Oryctolagus cuniculus: one gene and its partner. The protein of the gene in region 2 purifies or fractionates together with the protein of the main gene of each other region. This does not show direct contact. Links are inferred from orthologs where the notes say so. Each region holds a gene or a part of one and is shown on either strand. Other genes may lie near its edges.

Region 1 (3,808 bases), on a different chromosome or scaffold from region 2:
CTAGGCGAGGGGACAGAAATAGCTGCAGAAAGGCAGCCAGTACTGCTTAAAAAAAAAAAAAAAAAAAAACAACTGGGGCCACTCTGTGGCATAGCGGGTTGAGCTGGTCACTACAATGCCGGCCGGCATCCCACATGGGTGCTGGTTTGAGTCCCAGCTGCTTCACTTCCCATCCAGTTCCCTGCCAATTCACTTGGGAAACAGCAAAGATGGCCTAACTCCTTATGGTCCTGCCACCCATGTGGCCTGTCCCTGGCCTGTCCCTGGCTGTTGTGGCCATCTGGAGAGTGAAACAGTGGATGAAAGATCTTTCTCCCTCTCTGTAACTCTGCCTTTCAAATAAATAAATAAATCTTTAAAAAATTATTATAATGTCGGTAGGATCTGTAGCAGTGTTCTTTACCTTATTTCTGATATTGATAATGTGTTTACTTTCTTCATATACTAATTAAACTAGTTAAGTGCCTTACTAATTTTATTGATCTCTTTAAATAGTCCTTTTTGTTTAACTGCATCCCCCCCCTTTTGATATTTCATTGATTTCTGCTCTAAAATTCATTATTAAATTTTATCTGCTTGCTTTGGGTCTGATTTGTTTTTCTTTGTGTAACTTTGCTTAGGTCACTGATGCGAGACCCATCTTCTAGAATAAGCACTGTCATTTCTGCTATAAACGTTGCTTAAAGCTCTGCTTCAGCAATGACTCACAAATTTGGAAAATAAAACGCAGTTTAATCTTCAATGGTTTAAAATGTTTTCTAATTGGGGTTGGCACTGTGGTATAGAAGGTTAAGTCTCTGCCTGCAGTGCCAGTATCCCACATTGGATACTGTTCCAAGTCCTGGCTGCTCTGCTTTTGATCCAGCTCCTTGCTAATGCACCTGGGAAAGCAGCAGAGAATGGCCCAAGTGCTTGGGCCTGCATCCATGTGGGAAACCCAGAAGAAGCTCCTGGCTTCTAGCTTTGGCCTGGCCCAAAAGCCATATGGGGAGTGAATCAAGGATGGAAGATCTCTGTCTCTTCTTTTCTCTTTCCTTCTCTCTCTTTATAGTTTTTCCTTTCAAATACATAGAATAAATCTTTAAAAAAAATGTTTTCTAATTGCTTCTGTTATTTTCTCTTTTATCCACAGGTTATTTAAAAATGTATAATTTACAAATATTTGCAAAATATATTTTATGTGTTTCTTTGCTATTCATCTGTGGTTTAATTTCTTTTTGTCAAAGAACATTGCATGACTGTGGTTCTTTTCATCTTATTTAAGCTTATTTTATGTCCTAGTACATTGTCTATGCCACAAAGAAAGTGTACTCTGTTTTTGTTGCATAGAATTTTCAACCAATGCCAATTAGAATCAGTCAATATTGTTATATTTTCTGTATCCTTACTGATTTTCTGTCTACTCAATCTTTCAATTACTGACAAAAGAGGCTGAACTTTCCAAATACAATTACGCATTTGTCTATTTCTTAGTTCTATCAGTTGTTGCTTCAAGGTTTTGAATTTCTGTTATTATCCTGACATATTTAGGTATATCAGACCTTCTGATGAACTGACTCATTTTCCATTATAAAATAAGTATTTCAATAATTCCTGGTAGTAATCCCTGTTCTGAAATGTAGTTTGTCTCTAGGTAACGCTTTTATCTTTAGCCTTGATTCTAATTCCGAATTCCAGGCATGAGCTTCTGCCTGCATCTGATTATGTCTCCTGCAACTTTTCTCATCATTTTTTGTGTAAATATCCCATTAGTAGTGGAACTACTAATGTATCAAGTAATGTAGCAAGTCCCTGATACAGGAGGTGACATGTAAATGGACTGAATCGACTGTGTGTGTGGTTATACATTCTCTGCTCTTCCCTACTGGGCTCATCCCTAAAGAGCATACTCCTCAGGGGGATCGTGCGTTCTGACCCGCTGACATTTAACTTGGTCATATGACTTGCTTTGGCCAATGAAACACTGAGTGTGTAAAAGGCAGAGGCCTTAAGGGCCACTGCCCAGCCCTGTCATGGCTCTTCTCCTGGGATGACAGCAGCTTCCCGGGCACGGACGTAACCCTGCACTCTCAGCGTGCGCTTTGGAGCAGGGTGGGGCAGGGCTGAGCCAAGTGGCCAAAACACAAATGGAAGAGAGAAATGAGCCTTTGTGAGAGCTGAAACTGTGGGCTATTTGTTATCACAGAATAACGTAGCTAATACGGGCTCATTCAATGGGTTACATCTCTTTCTGTCCACTGCCTGTAAGCATACCCCCATCCCCCGCAAAACAAACAAACAAACAAACAAACAAAACAAAACCCAAAACCCAGAAAACCTCCAACATCCAATTTAGACACAAGGTAGTGATTACCCTACTGCATTCATATACGAATGCATTGCTTCCTCCCCAGCCGTAAAAACCAATGCTTACATCGGTGAAATAGCTTCGTAGGAATTCCTCGTTCAGCCCAGCTGCAGCCGCTCGTGCTCCAACCGCGTCCCTGGAAGCCCCCGTGGCTCTGACGGTCTTCATGGTTTCAGTGCCCAGCCCGGCTCCTGCCGGCCCCATCACCTGCGTGGCCCCGGCAGAGAGAAGGCTGCGGTGCTCATCCCACCTGGTGTCCACCTCAGACATCTCATGCTGCCCTTTGGTGAAGGAAGCAGAGCTGCTCCCTTTCATGGTGGCTTCCTTGGTGCTCATACTGCCTACTCCGTTTCTCGCTGCGAGGTTCTCCCCGTGGTCCACTGCCAGAAGCGACGGCACCACCTGTGAGAGCAAATACAGTCGAGAATTGTGTCAGAAGGTCACCATGGCTGCAAGAAGGGTCTGTGCTTTGTCCATACAGGCAAATTAGGAAAAAATATTTTGGGTTGCATAACTTCTGTTTTGGTCTAAGGAAAATCTTCCTTTTACCTTCCTGTTTTCATGGCTGATTATAAGCCAAGGAGAAACTAAAAGCCACACTTTCCTGTACAGTCTTAGCTTACTTGCAGTATTGGCAACAACTGCACTTCAACTTCCCTCCATGGTTTCATGCCTTCTCCCAGGACTACAGAGCACTTAATTTTGTCTGCCTCTGGAAACAAGGTCACCCAAGATAAAGACCGCATTTCCAAGCCTCTACTGTAGCTACTTGGTTAGGGACGGCCCCTTGGCCAACGTGAGTCACACAGAAATGGTGCATGCAGCTCCTGGGAAGTGTGCTGGGCAGTTCTTCATTTCTCTCCCATCCGAGGGCTGGAATGCAGGAAGAGTAGTGAGGTCTGGAACACGGGTGGGAACAGAACTCATTCAACGAAGAGCAACAAGACAGGAGCAGACTGAGGCATCGCTGTGGGGGAATCCTCGTGGTGAACCCGGACGGCCGCGTTTACGCTTACACCACTGTTATTCTGAGTTCTCTGACACCTGACACCTGACACCTGAGTTCTCTGATGCTCCTGGCAGATGGGGATGAGAACCAGGTGATGCAACAGAGAGACCAGGGGAGATGGCCATTAAGTAGTTAGCAATGCGATTTTGCAACATTTTACTGTTATTGCGGAGGGTGTAGAGTTACCCCTGCTGACCCCACCTTGCAGCAATGGAAATGGAGAAATGGAGGAGTTCCTGGTTGTGAAAGACTGTCTGTCGGTTATCAGGACCAGTATTGCCATCCTAAATCTCTGCACTCTGACTCTCCCTGACCCTTGCTCTATATTCTCTAGGCCACCCCATAACCCACACTGGCCCTTCTCTGTAACACAGCACATAAAACAGTAGAGTAAAACCACCTCAACTCTGCCCTGACAACACACACAAAACGTGCTGTGGTTTGCACCTTTT
Region 2 (4,331 bases):
ATGCTCTTCTCGGTCAGGCAGAGGCTCTCCAAAGGGGACAGCAGAAAAAAATCATTCCAGAGCTGCGGGGTGAGCTCTGGGCTTGGAGCCCCAGGACCCAAGTGTAGGCGCTGGCTTCGTAGGGGTCTCACTGTGCGACCTTGGGCAAGTGCTTTAACCGCCCTGTTTCCATCTCCTCTGTGGATAGCAGACAACAACAGCTGCTTGGGAGGAGAGCCGGACAGATGAGGTGGGGACAGTCACGGAGGCTGTGTGCGGACCCCCCCAGGTCTCCCCTTGATCTTAGGTGAGCACCCATCAAGCCCTTGCTGGGGAGCTGGGAAGATTCTTCCCATTTTGCCAATGGAATACTGAGGCTCAAAGAGGTGAAGGGCTTTGACCACGCAACACAGAGCTGCGATGGAAATCAGTGCCTCTCCCCCGGCCCTTCTAGAAGCCCACCGGCCACCAGACCCAGCACACTCCAAGGCAACTGCTGCCCACGGGACCCACCCGTGGGCGTCCAGGAAAGGTGGCAGGCTGCTAGCCCTCGCCTGACCTACTGGGCTCCTACATGCTGCATTCTCCCAGCTCAGCCCTGGCAGCCCAAACAGAGGTTCCACAGGGAATGGGGAGGAGCTGGGGGGGGGGGGGGCTCCTGTCACCCAAGATGGGGTTTGGTCTGGCCAGAAATGACTAATCGGGTCCTACCTCCCCCCCACCCCGCCCCAGACTGCCCAGCCAGGAGCCAGTTTTCACCAGGCACCTCCTAGCAATACTTCCTTGCTATTATCTTTTCATCACAGCCACAAACCAGATTAGCTAAACTAATCATTTAGCCAACGTAATTACAATGCCTTCCCCTCCTCCACCTTAGCGCAGAGAGGAGGGAAAACAGGCAATTTGGGCCCCAACTCCATGGCTTCCTAGAGGTGCGCCGGCACACACCACACAGCAGAACAGGGCTTCGGTCCCCTCCTCAGGCTCCCTCACCCCAAGGAGCAGCCAGATTCTGCCCTGGACACACCAGGGAGGTGGGTCTGGCCTCCCCTCCCCCTCAGGAGGCTGGGCTCCAAATCCCCCAAAAAAGACCACACTTGAATTCTTAAAAACCAGGGAAGACAGCCTGGTAGAGATCCCATGCCGGGCAGGAGGAGCGCTCGGGAAATTGGGGGGGGCAGGTCGGGTGGGGCCCCAAGGCATGTGTGAGGGAGCCTAGCATTGAAGCAAAGCACCCCAGAAAGCCTTGCTCCCGCCTCCCCCTCCCCCACCAAACTCTCCCGGGAAAGGGGGTGGGGAGGCGAGGGTCTGCAGAAGCTCCAAAAACTGGGAAATCAAAGGGAGAGCCAGTCCGGGCCTCAGCTCCCGCCAGGGAAGTCGCACAGGACTCGGTAGAGGAGGGGAAACAGACAAGAATCACCACTCCCCCACCTTCCGCAGTTTGGCCCAGTCCTGCCCCACCCCCATTCCTGGGGAGGGGGCAGAGCTTGGGAGAGAGCCACCAGCGCAGGCCTCATCCGAGGGGGTGTGGTGGTCCCCGGAGGCAGGAAGAGAAGGAAGAAGCTGCTTCCCTTCTCAGCCCACCCCCCACCCCGGCCCCCACCTCGGGCCCCAGGGGCCCAGCAAACAGGATGGGGGTGGGGGCGGGGGAGGCAGGTCAGGGCGCAGGCACTGGGCCGGCGCGGGGAGGGCGCCCTGCCCCAAGGAAGCAGGAAAGCCCCCAGAGAAAGCAACCGCGAACACTTCCTCCAGGAAAGTTTGTTCGGGTGATTTTTCAACAGGAAGGTAGAGAAAGGTAGCTCCGTTCCCACATCGACACTGTGGGAGCCACAGCGACAGAGAGCCGGGCCAGGTGACCCCGAAGCCCTTACCTAGGCACAGACCCCTACCCGCAAGCCCCAGTCCGAGCCACAGGCGCCGGACACCCACTGAGCACTGACCAGGGCTCTGCCCCAGCCCCACGGCCACCCCATCCCACTTCCGCTGGAAGAGCCCCAACCCAGCGCGAACTGGAGCGGAGGGGGGCGCCGCAGGTACTGCGCCGACGGAGCTCCGCGAGCTGCCAGGCAGGGCCTGCGGCTCCGAGCGCTCACCTGCTGGGCAGGTGGGGCTCGCGTCTCTGGGAAAATGCCTGCTTGGCCCCCACAGTTGGGCAAGCCGGGCGCAGACAATAGGGCCCCACCCAGGCCTGGGGGAATAGGGAGGGAGTGAGGGAAGGCGAGGATGACGCGTGGGTGGGGTGAGGGTGGCCCCAAAGAGACCAGTGGCAGCAAGTTTACTAAACCGTAAATTCCCAATAGCAGAGTGAGCCCTAGGACGCGGGCGGAGCAGGTCAAAGTCTCCCCAGCCAGCCCAGGGCGAGTCAGGGACGCGGCATCGAGCTAGCTCCGCGGACTCCGGGGGAGGCGCGACCCTAGAGGCACCTGTCCCGGCCCCTCCCAGCCCTTCTCGGGTCTCGGGCTCATCGAGGCCCGAGGTGCGCTTGGCCCCCACCGCGCGTCCCCTGAGTCGCCGTGCCCAGGACCGCAGCGCGCCCCCTGCCGCCGGTGCAGGGTGGCGCTCCCTGGCACCGGCCCTCACCTGCCCGGAACGGCTGGGACTGGTCTCTCGACCGCTCGCCGCCCCTTTCCTCTCCCCAACGATACCTGGCCCCGATCGTCCGCACCTGCGTGTGGAGCCTGGCCGGGCTGGGTCGGGGTCGGGCCGGGGTGGAAGCCGGCGTGGGCAGCAAACTGAGCTCGGCGCGCTCGGGCGGCGGCTGCTCCGGACTCTGGCCAAGGCAGCAACTCAGTAACCGAACAAAAGGCGAAGGGACCTGACAGCCAAGCCACGCCTCTCGCCCCCTCGAAGCTCCACCCCCTAGGGAGACGCCCACCCGCTGCTGCGAGCTCACTGGTTGCGGCGCCTGACTGTCCCAGAGAGGGGCGGAGCCTCGCGCCCAGTCCTCTTCCACGGCCGCCTCTGTTTATCCGATCGCCATTGGCCCAAGGGACTGCCAGTTGGCTCTAGGGATGGGCCCCCACTTGAGGCACCATATTAACTCTGCACCTATTGGCGGATAGAAAGTTACTTCCTCCTGATTGGACGAGGGGCTGTCAGTAAGATTAAGGAAAGGACCAATGGAAGGGATGGGGTGTGTCTTGCCCCACCCTAGCTTTGAGCAGGTAAGACTCATTACTCTCCCCTTCCCCCTACCTGTCCAACAGGTGAGTCAGGGGGCGCCGTGGGAAAGGACAGACGCCTTCGCCGGCCAGCCCACTTAGCGTCAGGCATGATGTTTCTTTGGGCTTATTCATCCTTGCGCCAAGGTAGTAATCACATAGTTGTGTAGCATTTCATAGGCTTTGTGCTGGGTTGGGATTTTTCCCCCCCGCAGAGGATAGAGAGTTCCTGAAATTTAGGACTAGAAGGCCTGGGTTTGAGTTCTGCCATTTGTTGGTGGCAGGTCGCTTCACCTTTCACCTTGTCTGTCCTCATCTGTAAGATGGGCACATTCACGAGAGGGCCAAGAGCTGGATGAGGTAAGGCCCTTGGACAACTGCTAAGTGTCGGGATTTAAATCGATGATATGATTTTTAAAATGCTGCTGACAGTTCCGAAAAATTGCCAGGACAACCAAACAATCCTCATTTTAAAGATCGGAGAAATCACTAGGAAACGACTTGCCTTGAGCCGGAGCCCCTTTTCTCTGATTTCAAGTCCCACCGAACCTCGGTTTGCTCCTCCTGGAGGAGTGGGTACTGACATCAAAGCAGCGGGGAAGGACCAGGGACACGGCAAAGCAAACACTCTGGGGAGTGATGGAAGGGCGGTTATTTGGTCCAAGGACAGAGCATTGGCATAGGGAGCTTGGGCAGGTGTAGACAGAATCAGGCAGTGGCCGTAAAGGAAGAGGAGTTGGGGCATCAAGGGAGTGGGGCAGCAGGGCTCTCTGTGGTCCAAGAGCCTGGGTTGGATATCAGAAAGAACTTCCCATGGGCAGTGTAAGGTGACAAGGGTATACCCTTACAGTGCCTGAGGAAATGAGTGCTGCTCATGACGTACACTGTGCCAAGAGTCTCACAGATGTCCACTCGTTCAGTGCAAGTATTGAGCACCAATTGTATGCTGGGCACTGGCTTAGACCCTGGTGGAGAGCTCACAGAGACTCTGTGTCAAGTGTCTGTAGCTTGTGTGTCTTGGGGGAGTGGTCGCGTATAGAGAGTCCACCCCTCCAACATGCTTCGCAGCCAGCCGAAGCCAGCACACAGCACGGGCTGGGGGGAGGTACCCCAGTGGCCCCTTGACCACCGTCCTCAGCAAGGGAAGGAGTGATGGCTGAACACTCTCTTGTCTGAAGCCTCACCATCCAG

What was found.
Region 1: the proteins of JUP (region 2) and DSG2 purify together in Homo sapiens (affinity purification with western blotting; 3 studies listed by BioGRID and IntAct, with this or other methods). This does not show direct contact. The link is inferred for Oryctolagus cuniculus from reciprocal best matches to the Homo sapiens genes JUP and DSG2.

The regions. Positions count from the first base shown.
Region 1 is NC_091441.1:46,118,003-46,121,810, forward strand, and holds part of DSG2 (desmoglein-2), read right to left. Parts: intron 2,750-3,808; coding exon 2,414-2,749; intron 1-2,413.
Region 2 is NC_091448.1:20,926,487-20,930,817, reverse strand, and holds the start of JUP (junction plakoglobin), read right to left. Parts: upstream 2,803-4,331; 5' UTR 2,645-2,802; exon of another isoform or gene 2,560-2,644; intron 1-2,559. UniProt on the Homo sapiens protein: Common junctional plaque protein. The membrane-associated plaques are architectural elements in an important strategic position to influence the arrangement and function of both the cytoskeleton and the cells within the tissue.